Canis lupus familiaris: one gene and its partners. The protein of the gene in region 4 interacts with the protein of the main gene of each other region in a biochemical or structural test. Links are inferred from orthologs where the notes say so. Each region holds a gene or a part of one and is shown on either strand. Other genes may lie near its edges.

Region 1 (4,178 bases), on a different chromosome or scaffold from region 4:
GGCCTGAGCGCAGGGACACCTCCCCCCCCCCCCCGCCCCCCAACCCCGGTCCGGCAAGGCCAAGGAAGCGCCACCCAAGCCCTCCACCACCAAGGTGCAGCACACAGGTTTAGGGAAATCCCACTCACCCCTCCAGAATGAAACAAATCAGAGTAAAACAAACAAAAAAGAACAGGCGAAACCAGAGAAAGGTTGTGGTTCTAGGCAAACGCCTAGCCGCCTCTTCATTTGCAAGCAAGCAGGGTTTTGCTCAAAATGTTTCCATATTCTCTCAAAATGCTATAGAATTATCCTTAAAATAGATACAAGTTACATAACCACTTACAACTTTTGAATATAAAACAAGTATCCTGCACCCCTCCCCTGCCCCCTCCTCCCCTTCGCCCCACACAAAGTTCACTGTTAAAAGCAACAGAAAATTGAAAAATTCCAAGAAAAGAGTTGAACTTACAGTAGCCAAACATTATTGAAAAAAGTGGGAAATATAATTAATGTCTGTCCTGTGAGGTGCCACTGCAACCTGCAGCCAGCTTTTGCCCAGTGAATGCACGAGCTTGCAACTGCAAAAACACTGGATTCATTAACCATCTGAATGCAAAACGTAAGCATGCTTTGAGTTCTTAAAGCTGACCAAAGTTTTTTTTTTTTTTTTAATGTGTATGTTTTACTTCAACAGTGCCAGCGTTTTAAATTGCCATGTAAACAAAGACAACTTTAGGAAAAGTTAGGGCTACTGAACTCTTCCCCCCCCCTCAACAAATTAATATAGATATGTCCATGTACACATAGCTGTCTTATTTCAGGTTGTGCACTATTTTCTTAAGTTTGCTTTGATTCTAATTTTAATGCAAGCCCCAATGCAATTTAAGCTCTTGAAACATAACAGCTAGAATACTTTTTTCTAATTATAGTTTTGAACTTGGCAGTTATTTTTCAATTAAATGAGAGCACAATTCAGTTTTTTTTTTTTTTTCAGATGCCTACAAAATCTCCCTGGAGCTAGAAATGAAGTCGTCATATTTGCCTGCTCCTTGAGATCTGAAGGAATTCAATTTCTTTTCTTGTGGCATATAAAATATAATTTTAAAGTCAATTACAAGAAGGAGTAATCTGCATTCTGCAAAATTGACTGGTTCGCTAATTTGACTGTAAGACATCTTTAATGATTGTCAGGAGATAAACTTTAACTGTAAACGGCTAAATATATTTATAAGAAAAGTGCTGCATCCCTTGCCACATGAACATGAAGCATATCTAAATACAACATCAAAAGTTGTGTTAAAAGAAACCGAACCCACACAACACAGAGATTAAATGAAGTGGAAGCTCATGCCAGCTGCAGTCTATGCATTATAGCCAAATCAGAAGGATCGGTAAATGCCGTTGTAAATTGTAATTTGTATGCAGTATTTAAGCGGAGGGTGGAGTTTGATGAAGAAATAAAACGAGTATCATGCTTTTAAAAAAATGACACAACTATGAAAGGACGGTTCAGTCACAAACTTTCCTTTCAAAGTAGAGGGGTGAAAACAAGGCCACAGCTCTGGAGGAGGCGGCCCCAGCTCGGTGAAGAGGAGAGGGAACCAGTGAACAGGCCAGAAGCCCCCCTTTCCCCCCTAATTAGACCTACAAGTGCAATAAATCTCACTCCTCTTTTTCCAAGCTAAGCTTCCAAAAGGATGATGCAGCAATGAATCCATGGTTCAGGGTCCTCCAGTCCCCGGCCCTCCCCAGTTTTTAAATAAAGGGTATGATGAAGGAAGAGGTGGAGGGGAAAGTGGAATGAAAAAAAACACACACACACACACACAAGAGTTTTCTGGGGGGGGGGGGGGAAATAAGCACCCCCTCCCCGAGTTCATGCCAGCACAGCCCCCAAGCATCCTCACGCACACGCGGGAAAGAGACACACACCGAGCACATCCAAGACAGAGGAAGTAAAGGGATTTTAAGCCACAGCTCACGATCCCAGGGACACAATCCTGAGCAGGCAGCAGGAGGGGTGGAGGAGCCAGGGAGAGGAGCGCAGGCCGGGAGGGGGAGGCAGCGGCAGCGAGCTCGGTTGGGGAGGGGGGGGGGTGACGCCGGGGGAGGAAGGCAGCGGGGACAGGGGAGGCTGGGACGGGGCCGGGACCGCAGGAGCTCCAGCCCCAGACAGCAGCCACCCCCGCGAGAGAAAGAAAGAGAGAGGGCCGGGGAGGCGGGCGAAGCTCAGGGAAAGAAGCAGAGAAGAAATATTCACCTTCCCGCCTCATGCCCACTTTGAGGCACTTCTTGAGGCGGCAGTATTGGCACTGGTTGCGGTGGTGCTGGTCGATGGGACAGTTCCTGTTGGCACGGCATGTGTAAGTTAAGTTCCTGCGGACGCTCCTCTTGAAGAAACTTTTGCAGCCCTCGCAGGTGAATTGGCCGTAGTGCTTGCCGCTCGACTTGTCCCCGCACACCACGCACTCGATGTGCTGCTGGCTCTGGCCCGAGCCGGGCGGGCCCTGGCCCTTGTCCCCTGCCGTGCCGGGGGTGGCGGGCGCTCCGGGCTGGCCCGGGGTCTGCGGCGTGTGCGGCGCGCCCGAGCCCGCCTGCTGCTGCTGCTCGCCGCCGCCGCCGCCGCCGCCGCGGGCCGCTTGCGCTGCGGGGTTGGGGCCGCCGGGGTTGCCCCCGGCCACGTCGTCCTGCGGATCTCGCCAGCTGCTAACTACCATTGCCATATCTTTGGGCCCGGGGAGCGCTGGGGGGAGCCGAGCTGCTCGCCGAGGGCCGCGGGGCGCGCGGGCGCGCTGGGAGGGGAAGGGGAAGGGGAAGGGGGGAGGGGGAGGGGGCGGGGGGCCCGCCGGGCGCCCCGGGGTCGCGGGAGCCGAGCCCGAGCCGGGCACCGGCCGCTGCCTCCGCCGCCGCCGCCGCCGCCGCCGCCGCCGCTACTGCCTCGGCCGCCCCGCTGCTGCTGCGCGCCCGCCCGCCCTGCTGGCGTTTTGTTGTGGTTCCTGCTGTTTTCTTTCTCTCTTTTTGCAGCCCCCCCAGGCTCTCTGGCTCCCCCCCCAACACCCCTGCTCCCCTCGCCCGCTCCCCCCGCGCTCCGATCCTGGGGGGGCCGCGCTCTCCTTCTCCCCCCCCTCCCCACCCCCCCCCAGCCGAGCAGGCTCTCCCTTCTCTCGCTTTTTTCTTCTTCCCCAAGTTGCAAAATCAGAAATGGCACAGGCGGCAGCCGGGAGCGGCGCGGGGCGCAGCGCCGGGGGCGGCGGGCATGGGCCACGGCGCGCGCACACACTCGCCCTCCGCCTCGCCCGCACCCCCGCGCACACACACACACTCGCACACACACTCGCTCACCCGCGCCGGGCGCCCGCCCGCCCGCCCGCCGGCCGCTCGGGCTACACGCTGCGCGCCGGCTCAGCCGACATAGAGGAAGCCGGCGAGGGCGGCGGCGGCGGCGGCGGCGGCGGCGGCGGCGGCGGCGGAGGAGGCGGCGGCGGCGGCGGCGGCGGAGGCGGCGGCGGCGGCGGCGGCGGCGGCGGCGGCGGAGGAGGAGGAGGTCGCGGCTGCAGGCGCCGCTGGAGTCGCCGCCTCAGCTGCAGCGGCGAGCGCCGCTGGAGGAGCCGGGGCCCGGGCCGGAGTCCGAGCTGGAGTCGGGGCCGCAGCCGGAGCGCGAGCCCGGGTCGGGGCCGCCCGCGCCGCCGCCGCTGTCCCGGCGGGAGCCCTGGCGGGGCTCGGGATGGAGGGGAGCGCGGAGAGCCGAGCAGGGCGCGGGGCGAGGCTGCGGGCGGCGATCAGGGCGCGCTGGTGTCGGGGGGCCAGGTCCAGGGCTGGACGCAGCCAGCCATTCAGGAAGGCAGCGCCGGAGAGAGGGAGGCAGCCGGCGACGAGGATCACACACTTTGCTCTTTTTGTTGTGCCGGTGGCGCCGGGCTCTCGCTGCCTTCTTCTTTCGGGAGGTGACGGAGAGGGAGAAAAATACGAGATAATTCACGCCGGCGACGAATTCGCAGCGAAATCGAAAAAATAAAAATCAGAAGAAAAAGAATCGCAATTTAAAAAAAAAAAAAAAGCGAGAGACATCCAAAGTAGGTCGAATAAATAATCCTCTTCTTTTCCTCTTTCTTGCTCCTTCTTCTGCTTCTTCTGCTATAACACACAGAGCTAGTTAAAAAAACCCTGGAGATCGCCCAAAAATGTTCTTTTTTTAG
Region 2 (2,526 bases), on a different chromosome or scaffold from region 4:
GGTAGAGAGGGTGGCTGGGCTCTGGTTAGGGACAAACCAGAGCCTGGAATGTTCAATCAGGGGGTGCATGGGGATATACTCACTTGATCTTCTCCAGGTATTCATTGGTATTCTGGTTGGTCATATTGGAAGGACTGATGTGAAGTTTGAAATCTGGTCCAAAGTATTCAAAGTAGTCATTGTACGGAAGCTCTAATTGGGGCAGGAGATAGGAGTCAAGAGACCTGGCTGCCACAGGACCCCAAGAAAAAAGCATTTGTAGGTTTGTCTGGACCTGTCAGCCCAACCATCTAACACAGAAGAATGCCTCTGAGATGGTGAGACTTGGGTACTTAGTGGGGTTTCAATCTTTTTAATGCTGTTCTCCAGTGTCACCCTCCAACATACACACAATGAGAAGAGGCACAAGCCCAATTTGGAAAAATTTAGGCAATGCCCATTGGGAGCATTTCCTCACTGACTATCCCAGATCCCCTACAGAGTAGAAATTCCAAAGCTATAAATAACCACTGATAATTCTGTCTAGACCAGAAGCAGGAGGGAGAGAGGACAGGGTCAAGAAAGGACTCAGGAAAAACTGGTGGTCTGACTATCACAAGAGGATAGGCAGGAGAATTAATCGATGACTAGCATCAGAAGAGGGGAGGCCACACAGCTAGTGGGAAACGGCTTGTGAACTTGAGGAAACACAAGCTTCAGCTGTGCCCAGCCCAGCCTGGCTTGGCCCTGGAGCTCTCACCATTCGGGATTTCCGTGTCCAGGGCCACAGCTGTTTCATATGTCCAGCAGCGGGCCACATTACGGATGGTGTAGCCGCCTCCTCCCAGCATCAGCATAGGCAGGTTGAAGCTCTTCACAAACTCCACACACTTGGCGTGCCCTTCGGGGAAGAAAGGGTTTGTTGGATTACAGGAGCACCCAGCAGGACCCTGCCCACCCATCCCTATGCTACCTGGCCTCACCTTTGATCGTGAGATTGAAGCAACCTAACCGATCCCCAGACAGGGAGTCAGAGCCACACTGTAAGACCACCGCACTGGGCTGGAACATCTCCATCACTTTGGACATGACCTAAAAGGACACATCCCGGTAACCACCAGCTTGAAGAGGTTATGTGATGTTTGGGGCTGCAAAGGATGGGTGCAGTACTTTGGCATCATTTACTCCTACTTTCCACTCTCCCTCATGCTGGGTGGTAGGGAGCATCAGTCTGGGATTTCAATTTTCCAATTTGAAAGGCTCTCCAAGATCTTTCTAGCTCTAGTAATGCTGAACCTGGAACAGCCTCATCTTTTGCTTCCTTCACTGCCCAAGCTCCAGTGCCACTTCTGACTGTCAGCTGCATCTGCCTTCAGTCCTACAGACTCTGTGCCTCATATTGTGAGGGGGCACTCACTTTCATCTTTCTCACTCTGACAAGATTTTGATATCACCTAGGACAAAGACCATATGTTGGGCTTCGCTGCTACCCTTACTATAAGGCATATAGGAAGCACTTCACTACCTGACCCTATTAGGTTAATAATAAGCCAGTAATGGTTCCTTGTGGCTTACAGGCAAAGATTTAACTCCTCAGCTCAGCATTCAAGGCCCCCTTTGAAATCCTGACCCCAACATATGTTTCCCATCACATCCTTCAATGGTCCTCCCATATTTGAACTAGTCTAGATGCAGCTACATACAGGCACCTCTGTACTTCTGCTGGTGCTGTTCCCCCTGTTGAATGCCACCCCTGCTCTCCAGCCTCCACCTCCTTTACATAGGCAACTCATTTTTCAAAGTCCAGCTCAAATATCACCACCTCTGTGAAGTCATCTCTGACTACCCTCCCCCCAGCCCAGGCAGCCATTTGTCTCCCACCCTTCTGTTCATCTTGCAAAAACAGTAATGACCACACGCTGTCGTGTATGTGCCTGCCTCCCGCAATGTAGACTGTGAGGTCTTCAAGGGTATGATTCATGTCTTAGATATTCTTGTATCCAACAGAGGGCCTGACCCACAGAAGGCATCAATAAATATTTGCATGAATTTCATTCCCCTAGCTGACCACACAGCATACAATCCAGGGTCAAAACACATCTCATTTCCCAATCAGCTTCTCGGGGTTGGGGGAGAAGTACCTAGGTATGCTGGAGGTACTTTGCTACCCATCCCTCAGACTAAGTCTGATTGCAGCCCGGGTGGTGGATAAGCCACTTACCGGCTTGAAAATGGCCTCATAGGACTCGTCATCGATCCCATCTCGGAGCGGGTAGTTAACAGCATAATACTTGCCTTTGCCAGCCCCAATATCCTAATCAAGAAGGACATTAAAGTAATAGTGAAAGATGAAGCTAGGAAGAAGTTCAAGATGGGGGCTGGAAGGCTAAGGAAAGAGGCAGTGGTTCTGAGAGAGACAGGTGGGGCCCTGGAGCTGAGCCAGGGACAGAACAGGGGCATCTTGGCTAATACCATCCCTCACACAGGCTCACATCTCTGGACACACCACTGAGCCTGCGCCCAGGCTGAGAACTATTTATGGAGCCA
Region 3 (3,179 bases), on a different chromosome or scaffold from region 4:
GGGAGCCACCTTAAGGGCGGTGCTCCCGCCCCCCGGAAGTGCGGGGGGGGGGCGGGGGACGCCGGCCCGGAGCTCGGCCTGCAGCCGCGGCAGGCGGCGCGGCGCCCGCGGAGGACCTCGAGCGCCCCGAGTGGTGCACCCCTCCCCGCACCCCGCGCGCCCTCGGCCCCGGGCACCTGGCCGGGTCCCCGCGCCTTCCCGCCAGCGCCCTGAACTGGAGCCCGCCCGGGCCGCGGGAGCCCGCGTCCGCCCGCGTCCGCCCGCGTCCGCCCGGCTCGCGGCAGCCGCCGTCACCCGACAGTCAAATCCCAAGACGTCAGCCCACAATGCACCGGGCGGGCCGGGAAAGACGCGCGGCGGAGGAGACGGGGGCAGAGCCGGGCGCGAGCCGCGCGGGAGGGGGAGGGGGGAGGGGGAGGGGGAGGGGGAGGGGGAGGAGGAGAAAGAAGGGCCCAACTGTAGGAGGGCAGCGGAGCATTACCTCATCCCGTGAGCCTCCGCGGGGCCGGAGAAGAATCTTCTAGGGTGGGGTCTCCATGGCGACGGGCGGGCCCGCCCCCTGGAGAGCGACGCGAGCCAATGGGAAGGCCTTGGGGTGACATCATGGGCTATTTTTAGGGGTTGACTGGTAGCAGATAAGTGTTGAGCTCCGGCTGGATAAGGGCTCAGAGTTGCACTGAGTGTGGCCGAGGCGGCGAGGTGGGAGTGGAGGAGCGCGGACTCGGGGAGGCGGGCGGCCGCGGGCAGGCGAGACGGCCGGAGAGTCCGGGCTGCAAAATCCGCTTTCCGTTTTGCATTTTCCTCGCCGACTGGCCGGAGCTAGCGCCTGTGGCTCCCGGGCTGGTGTTTCGGGGAGCGCCCGGAGAACCCCCTTCTCCAGCCGCCCCCGGGAGGAGAGCCCCGCCGCCCGGGAGCCGTGACAGCGCGGAGAGCGGCGACAGGTCCGTCCGCGCAAGTGCAGAGAGTGGCTGCGGCGGCTCAGAACTTTCCTGGCCGGGAGCACAGGGGACGAGTGGCCCGGGTCCCGGAGCGAACTTTTGCAAAGCTCTGCCGCGCCTGAGGCTGCGGCGGCTGCGGCGGCGGCGGCGGCGGCGGCGGCGGCGGCCGGGACGAGAGAGGCGGCGGCGGAGCGAGGAGACCGCGGAGGGACGTGCGCTCGGCGCCCCTCGCCCCGGTGGCTGAACTTGGGCGAGCGCGAGCCGCGGCTGCCCGGCGCCCCCTCCCCCTGTCGCCGCGGGGGCGGGCCCGCGGGCCCCCGGGAGCCGCCGCGCCCCGAGAGCGCCCCGAGCGCGCCCCGTGGGTGACCGCGACTTTTCCCCGAGGCGGGCAGCGCGCGCGCCAGCTGACCCAGGAGGAGCGCGGCGGCGGCCGGAGCCGGTGAGCGGGGCGCGGGGGGAGGACCGCCGGCGGGAGCGCGCGCCCCTCCAGAAACTTTCCTCTAGCCCAGGGCCGCCCCCCCCACCCGGGAGGCGCGGGGGTCCCCCGCTCGCCAGCGCGCTGTTGCGGCCCCGAAACTTCTGCGCGCAGCCCAAAGTAACCCCGCGCGAAGTGACGGACTGTTCTATGACTGCAAAGATGGAAACGACCTTCTACGACGATGCCCTCAACGCCTCGTTCCTGCAGTCCGAGAGCGGCGCCTACGGCTACAGTAACCCCAAGATCCTGAAGCAGAGCATGACCCTGAACCTGGCCGACCCGGTGGGCAGCCTGAAGCCGCACCTCCGGGCCAAGAACTCGGACCTGCTCACCTCGCCCGACGTGGGGCTGCTCAAGCTGGCCTCGCCCGAGCTGGAGCGCCTGATCATCCAGTCCAGCAACGGGCACATCACCACCACGCCGACCCCCACGCAGTTCCTGTGCCCCAAGAACGTGACGGACGAGCAGGAGGGCTTCGCCGAGGGCTTCGTGCGCGCCCTGGCCGAGCTGCACAGCCAGAACACGCTGCCCAGCGTCACGTCGGCGGCGCAGCCGGTCAGCGGCGCGGGCATGGTGGCCCCGGCGGTGGCCTCCGCGGCGGGCGGCGGCGGCGGCGGCGGCGGCTTCAGCGCGGGCCTGCACAGCGAGCCGCCGGTCTACGCCAACCTCAGCAACTTCAACCCGGGCGCGCTGAGCAGCGGCGGCGGGGCGCCCTCCTACGGCGCGGCCGGCCTGGCCTTTCCCGCGCAGCCCCAGCAGCAGCAGCAGCCGCAGCAGCCGCAGCAGCCCCCGCAAGCGCCGCACCACCTGCCCCAGCAGCTCCCCGTGCAGCACCCGCGCCTGCAGGCCCTGAAGGAGGAGCCGCAGACGGTGCCCGAGATGCCCGGGGAGACGCCGCCCCTGTCCCCCATCGACATGGAGTCGCAAGAGAGGATCAAGGCCGAGAGGAAGCGCATGAGGAACCGCATAGCTGCCTCCAAGTGCCGGAAAAGGAAGCTGGAGAGGATCGCCCGGCTGGAGGAAAAAGTGAAAACCTTGAAAGCGCAGAACTCGGAGCTGGCGTCCACGGCCAACATGCTCAGGGAACAGGTGGCACAGCTTAAACAGAAAGTCATGAATCACGTTAACAGTGGGTGCCAGCTCATGCTAACGCAGCAGTTGCAAACGTTTTGAGGACAGACTGTCGGGGGCTTGAGGGGCAACCGAGAGAGAGGAGAGAGAGAGAGAGAGAGAGGAGAAAAAAAAAAACCACACACACACACAGAGAGCGAGAGCGAGAGAACTTGAGAACTTGACAAGTTGCAAGAGAGAGCGAGAGAGACAAGAAGTGTCCAAGGACTAAAGCCAAGGGTATCCAAGTTGGACTGGGCGGCGTCCTGACGGCGCCCCCAGTGTGCACGAGTGGGAAGGACTTGGCGCGCCCTCCCCTGGCACGGGGCCAGGGAGCGGCTGCCCGCGGGCTGCCCCGCTTTGCGGACGGGCTGTCCCCGCGCGAACAGAACGTTAGACTTTTCTTTAACATTGACCAAGAACTGCATGGACCTAACATTCGATCTCATTCAGTATTAAAGGGGTGGGGGGGGGGGAGGGAGGGGGAAGGGTTCCAAACTGCAATAGCGACTGTAGATTGCTTCTGTAGTACTCCTTAAGAACACAAAGGGGAGGAGGGGGGGTGTTGGGGGAGGGGAGGCGGGAGGGAGGTTTGTGAGAGCGAGGCTGAGCCTGCAGATGAACTCTTTTCTGGCCTGCCTTCCTTAACTGTG
Region 4 (4,167 bases):
CTGGGAGATAGCTTGGGTTGTAAAGGTCTGCCCTGACAATGGTGCTGCTTGGAGGGCCTGGAGAGCCTGTCCCCCTTGAACTAGCTGAGGCTGGATAAGAATTTGTTGCTGTTGCTGTGTCTGCTGGTTTTGCTCTCCCTCTTTTTGCTGACTTGCTTGCAGAGAGCCTCCAGATGTCTGGTTCTGCTGAATGTTTAGAGCATCAGACCCCTGTAGCCCACTGACCCTCTGGGGTGTCTGCCCTTGAGAGTTGGTCCCTGCTGATCCGCTGGTGGTGAAGTTCATAATTCCCATGTTGCTGGTGGTAGTAGTTGTTGAGTAGCTATTGGCATTGGTGAAAAAGGAGCTGGAACTGGCTTGTGATGATACCAAACTGGCAGAACTGATGGCAGTCCCTGAGGTGGAGGGCTGTGAGCCACTCTCCTGGGACCCAGAGCTGCTGATAGTGACTGCCTGAGAGCTAGGAGTCAAGGTAGCTGCAGAAACGCTGTTGACAGGTAGCAAGGTGATATTCCCGTTCAGGGCCACTGGTACATTGGTCACATACTGAGTCTGTCCTGAGAGTACGTTATTAGTCAGGCCTTGGAGGGGGACAGCCTGCTGGAGTAGGTTTGGCATAGCAGCAATGATGTTGCCTCCACTTCCTCGATTTGTGATGATCTGTTGGTTTGCACCTGGTATGATCTGTATTTGACCAGAACCATCCTGCTGCACTTGGGCCCCAGTGGCAGCGAACTGCAGCTGTTGCCCATCAACGGTCTGGAACTGTGGGATTACTTGATACTGAATATTAGGCATCACTCCAGGTAATCCTGTCAGGACTTGCTGGTTCTGTAAATTGGAGGTGGCGGCCACAACATACTGCCCACCAGAGACCGCACGATTCTTGGAAGACTCACTGCCATTGCTGCCATTGGTACTGCTGCCACTCTGTTCCTTTGAGGTAGGGGTAGCCCCAGAGGAGGAAGAGATGATCTGCCAGCCATTGGCACCCTGTGAGAGCTGTGTGGCTGTGAGGTCAAGCTCACCTGTACCCCCTGACTGGCTTGGGCCTTGGGAGTTGTTGCTGTTTTCATTGGGTGACTCAATTCTGCTGCAAGTTGCTGCCAGCAGAGCCAGAGGGGATGGCTGGGATTCCTGGCCGGAAAATAAGGGAGAGGATAGGAGTCAGAGACACCCAGCTGCCAGCCCTGGGGGCAGTTTTAAAACAAATAAACAGCAAAACTGCAGCCAAAGAGAGGGAAAAAAAAAAAAAAAAACCTGAAACAAAAAGCTGACCTATCCATACTGCTGAAATCCTCATCTCTGGAGATCTCCCAATCATTTGTCTCTCTGTGCTAACTTCCCTAGCTACAAAATGGTTTAGCGCTTTCCTAAAAACGTTTCTGTGAAAAGACAATAATCTAAGAATATTTACATTCTCTAGACATCTCCCCTACTCTGCCCTGGTTTATCACTTACCTGCCCTCCTCCTCCTCCACTGCTGCTACTGCCTGTGCTGCTGCTTCGAGCCTGAGAAAAGGCACCATCACCATTACCGTTGCCCCCATTATTGCCACCAACTCCTTTTTCAATCTTCACCACGGCTGTCATTTCATCCATGGAGTGATCTTGGTCTAAAAAGAATTAAAAGATAAACAACTTAGAGTTGGAGGAAGGAAAAGGGTAAGGTTAGGAGGGATAAAGGACGCTATGATGAAACAAATAATTAACAGTAAGGTGAAAGGCACCAGCGTTAAAAAAAAAAAAAAAAAAAAGTGGATTGAGGAAAGGGCAATTGTAGGACACATAGAACACAGACTTGGCTTAGCAGTGCTGAAACTGGGCCTCAATTCTTCCCTGGCACAAAATTACACCCAGGAAACATTAAAAATGTACTTTTCGTATAGGAAATGTGAGGGGCGATGGACATGTTCAAAGAGTTTCAAAATAAAAAAAAGTATCCTGGGGATAAAAAGGAGAGGGATAGGTAAGGCAAAGAACAACATGTGGGTGGATGGAAAGCTTGCTAAAATTAGGGTCAAAGAATATAGAGAAAGAGAAAAACTCAAGGGTAAAAAGCAGCACGAGGAGAAGAGGGGCAAAGGGGAAAGAAAAAACAAAAAAGTGTGAGTGGGGAAACATTTGTGGATACGGCTAAGGGGCTACGGGGTCCAGGGGTTACGAATCTGGAGGTTTCGGGGCGGACAGAGGGCGGGCCCTGGAAGGAAAGGGCGGTTTCGGGGTGAGGGGCGTGGAAAGGGCGGGACGGTGGGGGGGAGGGGAAACCTACGGGGGGAGGGGAGGGCCTTGGGGCAGGCGGCGACCAGAGGGCGGACCGGGGAGGCGGTTGGCCCGGGCGGGGCCTGCACTGCTCGGGCCGCCCCCGCGGCTCCAGCCCCCGGCGGGAGGAGCCTCAGGCGGGCGGCCGAATAGTGGGGGGTAAGGCCCGTCCCCCGTGGCCGGGGCGGGCAGGGGGCGGGCGAGGCCACGCTGCCCCCTCCCCCGGGGCGGGCGGCCCATCCCCCGCTTTCTCGCAGGCCCCGCCACTGCCCCTTCTCCCTCCCTTCCCTCCGCCCCGGGCGGGACCAAGGCCGCCGCCGCCGCCTCCCGCCCGCCCCCCCTCACGGCGGGGACCGCCCGGTCGGCCCTCGCGCGCGCCCCCTCATTCCCCTCCCACCCCTAAGCGTGGAGTGGACTCATCCTTACCGCTCATGGTGGCAGCTGAGGGACGAGCTCAAGGGGGTCCTGTCCGGGGGGGTTGGGGGGGGCCGGGAAAAACGCGGACGCTGACGAGGCAAGCGAACCCGGACCGGACAGGGAGGGGGGGGGTAAGGAGGAGGGAGCAGCGCGCCACAAGCCCGGCCTAGGCCCCGCCCCTTCGCTGCTGCCCCGCCCAATGAGGGAGGGAGAAAGGCGGGACTTGCGGAAGAAAGACGCGTGGGTCATCCAATGGCAAGGCTCACTGGCTCTCTAAGGCGTGTAGGACAAAGTTGCGAGCCTGGTGTCCGCCCAGGGAGGCCGCCCTCTCAGTTTTAAGGCCCAATGAAAGGCGCAGGAAGTGGGGGTGGGCGGGAGCTAGTGATGACAGGCTTGGGAGGGAGCCAGTCAACCGCCAGGCGGGCTCCCTGAACGGTGGGGATAGGGAGAGCTTAGGTTGGAATGACAGAACATCGGCCAACCAGAAGCCCGGACATGCCTGGGCAAAGTCCCCGGTGGGAGGGGGTAAGAAGCAGGCCGAAATGGGATAGGATGAAGCCGACCACAGCCAATCAGAAATCAGGCGGGCAGCCAGGAAAGTTAGGATTGGGCCAACGCTGAGACAAGACAAGCGGGGACGCAAATTGACGTGAACGAGAAGCCAATTGAACGCCGAATGCACTCCGGGGGCGGGACTTTGGGGTGGGCCGAGGAGAAGCGGCGTCTCCCTCAGTCGGTCCGCCCAATGAGGCGGCGAAGGGGGCCAGGCCCCGCCCCCAGGGGGGCCAATGGGCGCCGCCAGAGCCGCCCGTCGCGGGGGAGGGAGCAGGGCTGTGCCAAGAGGAGGCCGCCGCCATCTTGGCCCTCCTCAGGGGACGTCTTTGCAGTGGTTAGGTGGCGCGCTTCGGTGGGGCCGTGCTGCGCAACAAGTGTCAGGGTCGAGACGGGCGGAGCGCGGCTCTGCCTCCCGCCGGCCGCTCTCTCGGGGGCCCCCCCAGCGTCCCCCTCCCCGCGGTGGGCGGACGGGCGGGCGGGCGCCTCGGAGTGTGGGTGTCGGCCCTGTGGGTGCGCGCGCGCCCGGCCAACCCCGCGCCGACCGTCCGCAAGGGCTTTTGTGCGACTCCGGCGGACGCCATCTTCCCGACTTCTCCCGCAGACGGCGGCCGGCGGCTTCCTTCCGCGGCGCTGACTTTCTCGAGAGCTGGGCCTGGAGGACCTCCCAGAGTCCGCGTCCTGTCAGCCACTTCCTGCCTCTCCTTCCCCACACACCCCGTCCGACGGCAGGAGGAGAGCGCGGGCCTTTGTAACCAAAGTCACAGGACACTTTCCCCTCAGACACCTGCGTTTCTGGCACCTCCCGTTCTACCTCGCTTCCCCCCCCTCCCCTGGTGTTGGTGGAGGCGGCCTGGGTGAGTCGTCAATGACACGGAGGTCATTCCCTGCGGCCCCTCCTGGTATCTTCGTGTTGTCACTAAATTATTTTCAGTG
Region 5 (3,991 bases), on a different chromosome or scaffold from region 4:
AGGTACTTTGCACTTTATGATAAAATCAACAGGAGAGAAATCTTCAGTGGCTCTTTAAAATTACTGCATTAGGTTATTCGAAATCTTTCATAGCTTGAAAATGTCTTCACAGCTTGATTATCTCTGGTAAAGATAAATATGGGGGAAAAATCCCAAAGCTTTATCTAAACTTCAGGTTCTTCATATTTGTGTTCCTTTTCACTACATCTATTTAACACAATGGTTTGTTATGCACAACTATGACCAGCTAATGCAATACTACTTAAAAAAAAAGGCCAATCATAAAATGTAATCTTCTACCCAGAATTGGCAAAAACTGACCGTACTGAGTCTACAATAGTCCAATCGAACATATTTTAATTTTTAAAATAACTGTTAGAAGAATGACAGCACACGCTTGGCATTTATTTGTACAACTCCAGATTCCACCAACTGTTCAATGCTTCCTATTAAAGTTCCTTAAACTGCACTTTAGAAAACGGTACTACGTATCACCTCCATTTTCCATTACAGTGATCTCATTCTTTTGGTCTGAGTAGAGATTGTGTAAAAATACCGAAAAGCATTCTTTGCGTTGCAAAGTATTCTTCTCAGGGCTTGCTCTAAAGAAACGCACACACGCTTCGTGTTGAAATCCTTAGAAGAGGAGCCACTGCTCTGGGAATTTCAGTAAAAACGCTATTGCGTAACCGCGCGCCCCTTCAAGCTGCAGAGGACAGCGCGGGTGGGTGCAAAAAGCCTCAGGCCGCCGAGGCAAAGAAAAGGAGAAACGGCAGGCGAGCGGGGAAGGGGAGCGTGAGCTGGGAAGGGCAGGAAGAGAGGCGGGGAGGGGAGGAAAGGGAGTGGGGCGGGAGGCAGGAAAGGGAAGGGCGGGCGGAGGCGCGGGCGGAGGCGCGGGCGGGGAGGCAGACGAGGGGCGGGGGCGGCGGCGGGGGCGGCCGGCGGGGGAGATCCTCGCTGGCGAGCACAGACGGATGGGGCCGCCCTAACCTCAACGAGGCTCGCGGGTGAGTCACCGGGAACATTCCTCGCCGCTCGCACGTCCCCGCGCCCCTGCCCCCGCCATTGGCCAGCCCGCCCGGCGGCGCGGGCCCGGATTGGCTGCACCGCGAAGGGCGGGGGCGCGGGGGAGGAGGGGGCGCGGCATGTGAACAAAGCGTGATCAGCCGCTGCTCCGGGCCGCGCAGGAAACGTGAACTGGGAATTGCCGCGCCGTCACCTTTCACCTACTTCCTGAGCCCGCGGCCCCCGCCCTCGCGCCGGCCCGGGGGAGGGGCCGCGGGCGCCGCCGCCAACCGCCCGGCAGTGCGCGCCCGAGCCCGCGGGGAGGGGCGGGGCCGCGGGCGCCGGCGCCGGCGCCGGCCCCGGCCCCGGCCCCGGCAGCGGGAGCGCCCGCCCCTCCCCGCGCCCGCCGAGCCGCCGTTCCCTTAGGAACCGACAGCGGGGCCGGGCCTCGCTGCCGCCCCTGGCGGAGGCCGGGGCTGGGTCACCCGGGGACGAGGAGCTCCCTGGGCGCAGCCGCTCCCGGCCCACCCCCGGCCTCCGCCTCGGCTGCCGGAGGAGGAGCCGGGTCCCCGCGGAAGCCCGGCCCCCGCCCCCTCCCGGCCGCAGCCCCGGGGGATCCGGCCGAGCCCTCGGCGCTTCCCGCCCACGCCGCGCGCGGGACCTCAGACCACCCCGTCTTCCCCGCAGACGCCGCGCCCCCTCCCCGCGGTTTCCGGCAGCTCCGTCTCCGCCCGCGGAGTCTCCACAGGTTCCCAGACGTGCAGCCCCCACAGACTCCCGCTCCAGACGCGCGGCCCCGCGGCCCGCACCCCCGCGTCTCGCGGCCCGGCTCCCCCGCCCACGTCCCCCGCCCGCTGCCGGCTCCCGCCCTCCGCCCTCCGCCCTCCGCCCTCCCCTCCCGGGGGTCCTCAAAGGCGGTCACTGGCTCCCGCCGGGACCCGGGGGCCCCTGCCGACGTGCGGGGGCGCACCTCCTCGTCCCCCTCGGCGGCCCCGGCCCACGTGCCGTTCCTCCGCGCCCACGCCGGGCGCCCCCTCGCCCGGCCCGGCCCGGCCCCGCGGTCGGCCGCGCAGCCCCGGCACCAGCCTCCGCCGAGACCCCCGAGAGGGGCCGCCCCTCGCCCCTCGCCCCTCCCGGGGACACACCGCCCCTCGAGCGCCCGGGCAGCGCCTCCCGCCCAGGGTCGCATTCCCGGTCCAGACGGCGGCGTCGCTCCCGGCGCCAGGTGCACGGGGGCCTCCTCGTCATCCCCGCACTGCCCTCTTACACCTTCCCCGGGCCCGCGGCCGGGGCAGCAGGCCCCTCCCCGCTGCGCTCCCCTGCAGGCATCCTCCCCCTCACCTGCCTCAGGTCCCCCTGCGGAGCTGCCCCTGGCCCTCCTCCTCACACCTTGGGCAAGGCCCCTGTCCCTTGGTCCCCAGGTCCCGATCCGCCCGTGCTGACCCACTCCGCGGCACACACGCCCTCCCCAGTGCCCAGTCTGCAGGCAGAAAGCCCGGTCCTCCCCCACGACTCCGCGGCAGCCCCGGTCGTCGGCGCCGCTGCTGTCCGGAGCTCGGGGCTGGCGCCCGGCTCGCCCCTCGGACGCGGAGGAAGGGAAGGACAGGGGCATCCCCAGGTGACCTACCGCAGCGAGCTGGAGGGAAGCGCCGAAGTTGAGCATGGCTGGCTGCCTGGCGGCCGGCGGCGAGCTCACTGGCTGCTGCGCTGCTTGGCTGCCGGGCCACGGACGGGCGCTCGGAGACACTCGACGCCGCTCCCGCCGCCGCCGCGCGCCGCGCCGTCTGCCCCCTCCCCATTCAGGTAGCCTCTCCGCCTGCCCCGCGCCGCGGGCGGGGGCGGGGGCGGAGCCTGCGGCCGGCCAATCAGCGACAAAGGTGTGTGAGGCGCCGGCCAATGGGCTCCCGGGGCCACGCGTGATCAGCGGCTGCCCGGCAGCGTGAAGCTTGTGTCAGTGGAGCGTGTACACAATCCCCGGCAGCGTGTTCCCTCGGCCCTGCCCGAGGGAACTCCCGCCGCCACCTGACTCGGCGACACCCCCTCGGCCCTCGCCCACCCCCCACCCCCCCCCGCTGTCCTCCGCCCCGGCCGAGGGGGCGGTGCCGCGGGCGGGGGCCCAGCCGGAGGCGCGGCGGCGGCGCGCCCAGGCTCTGCGGAGGGCCGGGCCCACGTGGGAGGTGGGGAGGGATGCCCGCTCCGCCCCGTCCCCTCTGCTCCGCGCCCCTCTCGGCCCGCCGCGGGGTGGGCGGGACACCGGGCAGCCGGGCGGGGGAGGCGGTGGCTGCTAGCCCGGGGGCCCGAGCCAAGAGATTTGCATTGGGAAGCGCCGTCCTCTTAGGCGTCTTAGGCGTCTGGCAAGAAAGCAGAGTCGCTGACCGACTGAGCTGCATTTCTCGAGCGTTTGCTGGGTTTTGCCTCGCTGAGCTGTGGGGAGCCCCGGGGCGGGGCGGGGAGGGCAGGGCAGGGCAGGGAACCCTGTCACTGAGCCGACACCTGCTCCTGCGCCCCCCGCCCACGCCCCGACCTCCGGCGCGGGTCGCCCTACCCTGCAGCAGCGCGGGCAGCAGTGCCCGCCCCTGCCCTCCCCGCCCATCCTTCCTCCAGGCTGCCGGGAGGACGGCGCGAGGACTGCAGGAAGCCCTGAGAACCGGCCCAATGGAGTGATGAGGGGCTGCAGACCCGGGTATTTATCCTTCTCTGACGACGCTTGGTTGCGGAATCGAGTTTTGAGCTCGATGTAAAGTTTAAATTGCAGTCTGCAAGCTGTTTCAAAGGTAGACCCCCACCCCCGCCCGGCCAAGGCCTCCAGAAACACCCAGCCTGGAAACTGCTTGTGGGGAGGGGTCTCCTAGGGTCGCCGGAGCCCGCGCGGGCGCGCCCGGGGGTGGGGTTGCTGCGGGGAGGCCCGCCTGCTCCAAGACACACCGCGCCCTCTCAAGGGCCGCCCGCCCTCCGCTCCCCCACAGTCCCACCTCCGACCCCTGGG
Region 6 (3,952 bases), on a different chromosome or scaffold from region 4:
GGGCCAGCATTAAGTGGGGGTCCAGACACCTCCCCTGAGCCCTGTACTCACTTTGGCAAGGGCAGGACATGCCAGTAACAGCATGACCCTTCCATAGAAATCTTGCTTCTCACCTTGGGCTGTGCAATGCCCAGTGCTTCAAAGAGCTCAGGATGCTTGACAGGCAGCTCAATTACTTCTTTGATCTCCTTTATCTGCTTGTCTAATCCACCGATCATCTCATAGGTTGAATCTGGCACCTTCTCCACCATCATCAGTGACACCAGTGGGTCTACCTTGTTGGGTAAGATCTTGTGCAGAGTGTAGCTGTCATTTCTTAGAGCCACCCGGCAATTGGGTGTCACCTGGGTAAGAGAAGAGTTTTAGGAGGTAGTGTGCTAAGAGCTGAGCCCAACCTCCCACCTCACCTGCAGCACTCACATCATTGATGTCGATGTTCTTGTCCACATCTACGACAAACTTGCCTTCAGGATGCACCTACAGAAACGGGTTCGTGACCTTTCCTGACAACCACCAAACTACCCACCTCGCCCAGGAAGACCCAGGAGTCCTAAAATAATAGAAGAGTGTCTTGGCAATGCTACACACACGTGTGGGAATGCGTTGGGCTTTGGGCTGCTCTCTGGGGGTCAATCGTGCTTTTACCTTAACCAACACTTTTTTCTTATCCATGGCCCGGACTACTTCCCCCACATAAGAGCCCTGTTCCTGCAGCAGCTGTAGTTCTTCCCGCAATAGGCGAACTGGATGGGAAACAGACATAGGGGTCACCCAGCTTCTTCAGTGTCCTTTCTCTCACGACTCCATTTGACAGGCATGAATTAAGCACCAATTTGAAGTTTTAGAAGACCACAAAAATAAAGTCAGAATTTAATTTCTAAAGGGGTTACAATGGGGAGAGGCATGCGGTCCCTGCCCGTAACTACGTAACGGTGTAAAGTGTAACCTTGGACTATACGAGAAACAATAAGCACCAAACATGAAGTCTCAAGTCTCAATTTAGGCAGATTCAGACAGACCTTGGACAGACTGGCCAAATGCAGCCTTCCCATCTTTCCCTTCTCACCTTTTGCATTAAGCTCATTCCTCTGTGCCTGCAGCCTCCGGAGATTTTGGCTCTTATCGTTTACAATCAACTACGGAGGACAAGAAACAGCAGAAAACAACAAGAGGTTATGGTCTTGGCCAAGATCCTCACAGGCTGGTACGAGCTAAGTGACAGAAGAGCACGGGGCCACCTGCACGTTCCAGACTGTCCGATATGATCTTAAAGACTATCCTTTCCTCCAGGAGTCCCTCTGGGGCCTAGAGCAGCCATGAAAAAAGACTAGTTGCCCTAATAATGGACCAGGAATAGCAAGCCCTGATAAAAGTCACAGCTGCCTCACATAGTCAACTCCTTGCAAGAAAATAACATGGTAGAGTGGGAACATCACTGAGTCCAAAGCCTAAGTTCTAAGCCCACCGCTGCCAACTAACAGGTAGCTAAAGCTAAGGGAAACCATTTAAAAGGTCACGATGTTAAAAAAAAAAAAAGTCATGATGTTACCAAACTGGAAGTAGATCTAGCGTCCCCTACCCTGCCTCTTCTCAGGACTATTGTGAAGAACAAAGGAAATCCCATGTAAAGGCACTTCAAAAATCATAGACCGAATATGAAAGCTGCAAATACGCCAGGAGTTCAGAAACCGTCCTTGTGACTTTCTTTCATCCAGTGTGTATATTTCCCTTATTGCTACGGTCCCTGCCCCCTCTTCAGGCTAAGGCACTGGGTGGCCCAACTCCTTTTATTCAGTCCCATGGGGTCCGCATTATCCCAACTGGGAGTTTCGGTCTCCCTTCTCGCTCTCACCCTGTCCCAGCCCGTGTGCTACGTCTCATCCCAGCTTCCGCGTTACCTTTTATAAGAAACCCTCAATTCAAACTTCTAAAAGGAATAGTACTTGGCAAAGAGTACCTCTTACGTCAAAATCTGACAGCCAACGATGTGTAATAAACCGTGTATACTGATTACCTTCAAAGGGTGAGAAGTGAGAGAAACAAGAAACTTAACTTCATATACTCCTATCCTTGACCAGTTACTTCTTCCACTGCGCCCCCACCGGACTACGTGGGTTTATATAAACATACTCCAGTCCCTCATCCCCTCCTAGCTGCCTCTGTAGTCCATCCTCACCTGGAGTTCTTCGATCTTGGACAGATAATATTGGCGGAGTCCACTGCCTGCCTTCCCCTCTTCCAGCTCCATCTGAAGACACAGGGTAATTATTAGCCCCCCAACCCCCAAAATGCAAGGGAAAAAAGCCTGGACTTTGGAGGAATGGGATTTGGGTTGAATTCCTCAGTCATCTCTTTAGAACCCTCCACTTCCCCGCGACTAACTCAAAGCAGAAGGAGAATGCCGCCTACCTCGTAAGACTTTCAGGAGGATCAAGGGACAACATGCACGAGAGCGCTTTGTACCGAGCCATCTTCCCCTCATTCGCTCCGCTTCCCCCGGGTCTTTCTCTCCCGGCCCTGCTCTGACCCGCCGCGGGCGGCGCTGACACAGCAGATCCGGTCCCGCGCAGGGCCCAGTCTGGATTGGTCCACCCACCCAACCCACCCGACCCCCTTGCCTCGGCCGTCTGCCCACCTCGGATCGCGCCTGCTTCGCATCGAGGCCCCGTCCCCACCCGGCCACCGCAGCCGCCGTACCTGCTCCGGCCCGTCAAGCGCCATCTTCTCTCACCCACGGCGGCCGCCGGCATCCGAGCCACCTTGGCGCGCAGGCGCAAAAATAGGGGCTTGGGGCCCGGCGACCCTGACAGAGAAGAATTCCGGGTCAATGGGCGGGGTGTGCGTCGCGACGACTACAAAAACAGAGGCCATGATGAGAAGGTGGCTACGCGAGGTCAGGAGCTTGGAAAGGGATGAGGAGGCCACGGAACTCCTAAATGTTGCTCTCTAGGAACTCAGTTTTAGATCAGGTAATCCGCTCACCTGGTCCCAACTTCCAACTTGCAATACTTAAGGACATAAAGAAAACTTTTCGGCCACGCTCAAAATGGCGGAAACTTGGAGCCGGAGACGCAAGCGACGCAAGCGGAAACGGAAGTACGTGTGCTGCCCCCCACGTGCCTCTCTCAGAGTGGTGAAAAAGGCAGAGATTCCCCGTGCTTGCAGAGACAAGTGGGGGACGGAAAGCGGCGTTTCAATTTTTCTGTCCCCAGGTTAAGTGACAGTCCTCCCGTTCCACTATGGGCAAGAAGGGCAAAGTCGGGAAGAGCCGGCGGGACAAGTTCTATCACTTGGCGAAGGAGACCGGTGAGTCAGGGTCCGCGCTGTCTGCGAGCTAAGGAGGGACGTTTTCGATTCTCTCCCACCTTTCCGAATACTGAGTTTCCGTTCTGTAGACGGGGTGGTGGGTTGTGAAGTCGCAGAAATCTCCCTGGGAAAGCCCCCCGCCGAGTTTAACATTTTGTCGGTGCCCCCAGGTTACCGCTCCCGCTCTGCTTTCAAGCTGATCCAGTTGAATCGCCGTTTTCAGTTCCTGCAGAAAGCACGAGCCTTGCTGGACCTGTGTGCTGCGCCCGGGGGATGGTGGGTACACCCGGCACCTGCGGCTCTTTGTGGCTGCGTTGAGGGTCCCGGCCGTGGAGGACTTGGAGTGGCACTGGGGGGCGGGAGGGATACGGCAATACCAGTCTCATGCTTTTCCTAGACGTAGGTCGGGGCACTGCACTTGGTAGCGCCTCTTAAGGCACGCGGTGAGAGAGCCTATTGCCAAGGGAGGGGGAGGAACGGTCTTGAGTTATTGTAGTCTTGAGTTATTTTAGTCGGCATTACTCTTTTCTAGGCTGCAGGTGGCTGCTAAGTTTATGCCTGTATCCAGCCTTATTGTGGGTGAGTAACGGATGGGCCCCCTGAGTGGTAAAGGGGTGGGAGAATGAGATACTAATTGTGTTCTGCA
Region 7 (4,225 bases), on a different chromosome or scaffold from region 4:
GCTTGAATTGCAGTGGGTTCAGTAAAATTCTGTCTTGCAATCACATCCATTACATTTGCTGTAATTAGCAACAGTAATTCAGTAAATTTAGTGAAGCTAAGAAAAAGGGTGAAATTAATAAAGGGGGGGGAGTGAGTGCTCTGAACTAGCACTTACCAGGGAAGTTTGCTTCATAAAAATTCAGAACTGGCTTTGGGCAGTTGTGACCTCTAACCGTAATTTCCTTACTCCTTCTGTATGTCTCCACCTCTTGCTATAAAACAAATTTTAATAACCTACTAAGTACCATAACAACCTTCACCAATATGCAGTCAGCAGGCCTTAAGTTTATCAAGGATTAGCAAACTGTAACGGGCCATTTAAAATCTATATCCACATATAGAAAACCTACAGAGCACAAGATCCATCTATTGTAGTTATATTTAACCACTCTAAACAGAAAAATTCAAAGATACCACTTGCCAAAGCACCTCCTCTTCCTCGACTATCAGAAAATATGAGTTTTCCAAGGCCTCTGTTCAAATTTCTGTTTACTAAAAGTCACTGTTGAGTTACAGCCCAAGGAAGCCCTGTGAAATTACTCACTGCTGTGCGCCTAGCCAAATCAGGGTGTTCTTGATAAAAATTCTTCTCAAATTTGGGCAGCTCATCAAGATTCCACTTCTTTTTGACTAATTTCTCCCCAGGGTTTCCAAACTTCTTTCCAGATAGGGGCCCTGCCCTACTTCCCCCAAATCGAGGTGCACCAAACCTGAAATTAAAACAAAAAAGTTATATTTTCAACTACCTACTAAGACGTTTACATACAGACTATTTATTGTCCCTTGACACACAGTACAGATAAATGAAAGACTTTTCGAGGTTTAAGACTTAGCACTGTCCTTAGTGATGGGTCATGCTCTCAAAAGCCACAATTAGCACCATCTCTCTCACTTTCCGTTGTCCCAAATACACACTATTGAAGCCAAATCAACAGCCCGGGATTTATCAGGTCGGAAATTGGCTGCCCAAACGCCCCATGTTCAGATTACAAGGATAGACAACAGCTTGTGGCTCCTAGTCTTTCCCGTGAGCTTAGGCATTAAATGTCTGGGGGAGAGACAATACAAGGGAGGTGCGTAACAGCAATGTTATTATCAGCTCTTTCCAAGCCAAGCAGCTTTGGTTCTAAGGAATAATGGGACAGCACCAACGAGAACAGAACAAGGACGGTGGTCTCAGAGACATTTATGCAAGCCCATCGAATTGGGGGGATCCCCCCGGAGGGCTCCTCATCAAGATAGCAAAATTATATAACGCAAAGAAAAAGAGGAGGAGGAGCTGGCAACTACCGGGGGAGGAGTCCCGGACCGGGCGGCGTTCCCGCTGGGGCGGCGCTTCCCCCTTTGTCTCGCATTTCTCTCTGCGCCACATTTTCTCGACGCTGCCATTTTGAGCTCCTCCGCCGGGCGGGGTAACAAAGGCGCCGCCGCCATGTCCGGCGCCGGCATTTTGTACCCGCGGCTCAGCCACATGGCCGATTCCCGCGGTGCCGGCCGCCCTCCTGCTCCCGCGCCATCAATGGCTCGTGAGGCGACCCCTTCGATTACCACAGAACTCCCGGGGCCCCTACAACACTTCCCGAAAAGATGCACCGAACAGCGGTGACTTCGTTCTCCTGAAAGCGTCGCGCTTTCCAACCATTGAAATACACTCCCCCGAATTGTCCCCAACAGCTGCTCAGTCGGCGGGGGCGGGGGCTTCGGCGCCTCCCCCATCCCCCCACCAACAAAAGGCGAGCTTGAGGACCGTTAACAGGGAAACATCCCTCTGTCAGTTCCGGACAAATATCAAAATGGCGCAAGCCTTCGATTCGTAAAGGTTAAATATAGCCGGAAAAAGCCGACTGTCCATCGCCCCCGCCCGCCGCCTCCTTCATCGGCCTCCCATCCCCCACTGCCGGGCCTGACAAGTCCGTTCCCACACTCACCCTCGATCCCGGCCGCGGTCTCGGTCACTCGAATAACCCGACATGGCGTCAATGGTTGCGGTTGGCGGGGAACGAAGTAAAGAGAATCGGGTGCGACGAGTCGCTGCAGGTGGCTTTGGCGATGGCAAAGCCTTGCGGGGGCGGCAGCGGCAGCGGGGCGGCGATGACAGGGGCCGGAGCTGCTCGACAAGAGACCGGTGGAAATGAATGAGGTGCCGGCCGCGTCCCGGCAGCCGGTTTTATAGCCTGGACCGCCTCCTCCGCCGCGGAGAATGCTGGGAGCCGCTCTATGACCTAATCACCCCGCCCCTGCGCAGAGGCCGCAACGCCCGCCGGCGTTCCGGGATCCGCCATGTTCTCGCCCCACCCCCACCCTCCGCTTCCCTCAGAGTCGCCGGCTTGGGGCCCCTTTCACGGCTGGGCCCACCCGCACTGAGACGCCTTAGCCTACTCTGTGTTCTTCACCTTTTTCTCGTCTTTCCACACCTCAAGGAAGCCACCCCGCCCTTTCCCAGGTCTAGCCCTGCCGACAAAATGGCCAGCACAGACCAACCCACTCAGCCCACTTGGAGATGTTTACGTCTCCGAAGAGCCTTCACGCCCCTAACCAAGTGAGACGGGAAGGCGGAGCCTGACATTGTCACGTGACTGCTCCCGCCCATCGGGTAAGCGGACCGCACTACTTCTCCACTTGGCGTCGGCGGAGGAATACGAAACGAAATAGCTCGCCGGAAGTGCCGTACTATTGCCCCCGGGAGGCCGGCCAGGGCCGCTGGGTGACCCGGCCTGTCAAATCCACCCACCTGAGAATCCCTCAGCGGGATCTTGCCCGCGGAGAATGGTACCTAGAGCCCACAAACCGCCGCCTGGGCGCGTGCTGCGAAAGGAAGTCCTCCCGTGATGACCAATCAGCAGCAAGAAGCCGTTTTAACGTCCCTCCCTCTTTCACCCCCTGCCCTTTCGTTTCGTTCTCCCCCCACCTCGGCGTTGCGTCTGCGCTGTGCGGCCCTTCCCGGACGCCGTCCGCCTCGCGCCCAGCTGGAAGTCCGGCAGCGACCTGCCTCCGTGACATGGCCGGCTCAGAGGCTGGTGAGTCTCGGCCCGGAGCCCGGGTGTGTGTGGACTGAAACCCTTTAAGTCCGCCGGACGCTCCTAGGCCTTTTATCTCGAATCCTCCGGCTGGACTCCCTGGGTCTGGGCTGCCGGCGGGGCTGGTGACAGACACCCAGTCGCAGTCGGCGGTTCCGTGGGTTTCTTGGCCCCGCTCTGGGTCCCCCTCCTAGAGGCCATCTAGCGAGATCTTGGGGTGTGGAGAGAAGAACCCCGTGGCGAGGCCCGCAGCACGCCCGCAACCTGGCTGCAAAAAGGGCAGTCGGAAAGCTGCTTCCCGGGACTCGTGTTTCTCTGGGGCATCCAGCCACTGTCAGCGCGCTCTCTGCCTCTTGGATTGTGGGGACTGAGGCCGTTACCTCCATGTGCATTGAAGTTTTGAGGGGAACGGCACTCTAAAGATCTGCTGATGCTCCTGCCACAGTAGGATAGTGGCGGATTTTTCTCTTCAGTGCCCTCTGGAGTTACCTGCATTGTCTAGCAACCGCTTTTGAAAACCGAGTGGGTTGGGTTGTCCGGGACGCTTTTCTTTTCATCCTTTCCTCAGGACAGCGTTCAAACCAGCTCGTGGTTTGGTCAGCTGTGAGAAGTGGGCACGGGGACAGGGAGATAACGTGCCTTGAACGCGCTCAGTTCGTCAAATACGAAGTAGAAGGACTTCTTAACCACCTTAAATTGTATCAGGGAGCAAATAGGTCAGGCTTTAGAAATTACCTTTGTTGGAGAAAGTCGTGAAATAATCTTGCTAATTCCGACCGTATCTGGGGGTGGGGTGCGGTGGCACACAGGAAACTTCCAACAGTGTTGGTAATGTGCTAGTTCTGAATTTAGGGATGTCTTTGTGTATTGCCTGTATTTTACTTCTTATTCATTGACTTTATTTTTTTTATAAGATTTTATTTATTTATTTGAGTGAGAGCATGAGCAAGGGGAAAAGCAGACTCCCCGGTGAGCAGGGAGCCAGACTTGGGGGCTCCATCCTGCGGGGATCATGACCTGAGCTGAAGGCAAAGGCTTAAACCGATCGAGCCACCCAGGCGCCTCCATTAAATGTAATTTTTTTAAAGAACTAAAACAAATGTTGCAGTGTTGGGGTCATTACTTCAGTTTTTTAACAGCCTGAATTAATCACCACCTTTTGGGGCA

Evidence for each region.
Region 1: the proteins of SP1 (region 4) and NR2F1 form a complex in vitro, tested with the Homo sapiens proteins (2 studies listed by BioGRID). The link is inferred for Canis lupus familiaris from reciprocal best matches to the Homo sapiens genes SP1 and NR2F1.
Region 2: the proteins of SP1 (region 4) and HDAC1 form a complex in vitro, tested with the Homo sapiens proteins (2 studies listed by BioGRID). The link is inferred for Canis lupus familiaris from reciprocal best matches to the Homo sapiens genes SP1 and HDAC1.
Region 3: the proteins of SP1 (region 4) and JUN form a complex in vitro, tested with the Homo sapiens proteins (2 studies listed by BioGRID). The link is inferred for Canis lupus familiaris from reciprocal best matches to the Homo sapiens genes SP1 and JUN.
Region 5: the proteins of SP1 (region 4) and KLF10 form a complex in vitro, tested with the Homo sapiens proteins (2 studies listed by BioGRID). The link is inferred for Canis lupus familiaris from reciprocal best matches to the Homo sapiens genes SP1 and KLF10.
Region 6: the proteins of SP1 (region 4) and PSMC5 form a complex in vitro, tested with the Homo sapiens proteins (2 studies listed by BioGRID). The link is inferred for Canis lupus familiaris from reciprocal best matches to the Homo sapiens genes SP1 and PSMC5.
Region 7: the proteins of SP1 (region 4) and DDX5 form a complex in vitro, tested with the Homo sapiens proteins (2 studies listed by BioGRID). The link is inferred for Canis lupus familiaris from reciprocal best matches to the Homo sapiens genes SP1 and DDX5.

The regions. Positions count from the first base shown.
Region 1 is NC_049224.1:15,771,465-15,775,642, forward strand, and holds the start of NR2F1 (COUP transcription factor 1), read right to left. Parts: upstream 2,801-4,178; 5' UTR 2,706-2,800; coding exon 2,243-2,705; intron 1,937-2,242; exon of another isoform or gene 1,915-1,936; intron 1,741-1,914; exon of another isoform or gene 465-1,740; coding exon of another isoform or gene 452-464; intron 281-451; exon of another isoform or gene 129-280; intron 1-128. UniProt on the Homo sapiens protein: Coup (chicken ovalbumin upstream promoter) transcription factor binds to the ovalbumin promoter and, in conjunction with another protein (S300-II) stimulates initiation of transcription. Binds to both direct repeats and palindromes of the 5'-AGGTCA-3' motif.
Region 2 is NC_049223.1:68,301,034-68,303,559, forward strand, and holds part of HDAC1 (histone deacetylase 1), read right to left. Parts: intron 2,294-2,526; coding exon 2,201-2,293; intron 1,072-2,200; coding exon 963-1,071; intron 881-962; coding exon 740-880; intron 193-739; coding exon 84-192; intron 1-83. UniProt on the Homo sapiens protein: Histone deacetylase that catalyzes the deacetylation of lysine residues on the N-terminal part of the core histones (H2A, H2B, H3 and H4).
Region 3 is NC_049226.1:51,325,633-51,328,811, forward strand, and holds JUN (transcription factor AP-1), read left to right. Parts: upstream 1-1,347; 5' UTR 1,348-1,563; coding exon 1,564-2,589; 3' UTR 2,590-2,679; downstream 2,680-3,179. UniProt on the Homo sapiens protein: Transcription factor that recognizes and binds to the AP-1 consensus motif 5'-TGA[GC]TCA-3'.
Region 4 is NC_049248.1:44,804,296-44,808,462, reverse strand, and holds the start of SP1 (transcription factor Sp1), read right to left. Parts: upstream 2,801-4,167; 5' UTR 2,696-2,800; coding exon 2,689-2,695; intron 2,210-2,688; exon of another isoform or gene 1,802-2,209; intron 1,617-1,801; coding exon 1,462-1,616; intron 1,138-1,461; coding exon 1-1,137. UniProt on the Homo sapiens protein: Transcription factor that can activate or repress transcription in response to physiological and pathological stimuli.
Region 5 is NC_049234.1:4,353,188-4,357,178, forward strand, and holds the start of KLF10 (Krueppel-like factor 10), read right to left. Parts: upstream 2,801-3,991; 5' UTR 2,669-2,800; coding exon 2,633-2,668; intron 739-2,632; exon of another isoform or gene 557-738; intron 517-556; exon of another isoform or gene 502-516; coding exon of another isoform or gene 496-501; intron 1-495.
Region 6 is NC_049230.1:15,140,696-15,144,647, forward strand, and holds the start of PSMC5 (26S proteasome regulatory subunit 8), read right to left. Parts: upstream 2,801-3,952; 5' UTR 2,722-2,800; coding exon 2,698-2,721; intron 2,249-2,697; coding exon 2,177-2,248; intron 1,137-2,176; coding exon 1,067-1,136; intron 744-1,066; coding exon 646-743; intron 478-645; coding exon 421-477; intron 345-420; coding exon 114-344; intron 1-113. Other genes in the region: pre-rRNA 2'-O-ribose RNA methyltransferase FTSJ3, read left to right, coding at 3,240-3,306, 3,477-3,582, 3,839-3,885.
Region 7 is NC_049230.1:14,616,023-14,620,247, reverse strand, and holds the start of DDX5 (probable ATP-dependent RNA helicase DDX5), read right to left. Parts: upstream 2,801-4,225; 5' UTR 2,773-2,800; exon of another isoform or gene 2,329-2,772; intron 2,149-2,328; 5' UTR 2,014-2,148; coding exon 1,970-2,013; intron 752-1,969; coding exon 586-751; intron 254-585; coding exon 157-253; intron 59-156; coding exon 1-58. Other genes in the region: CEP95 (centrosomal protein of 95 kDa), read left to right, coding at 3,040-3,058. UniProt on the Homo sapiens protein: Involved in the alternative regulation of pre-mRNA splicing; its RNA helicase activity is necessary for increasing tau exon 10 inclusion and occurs in a RBM4-dependent manner. Binds to the tau pre-mRNA in the stem-loop region downstream of exon 10.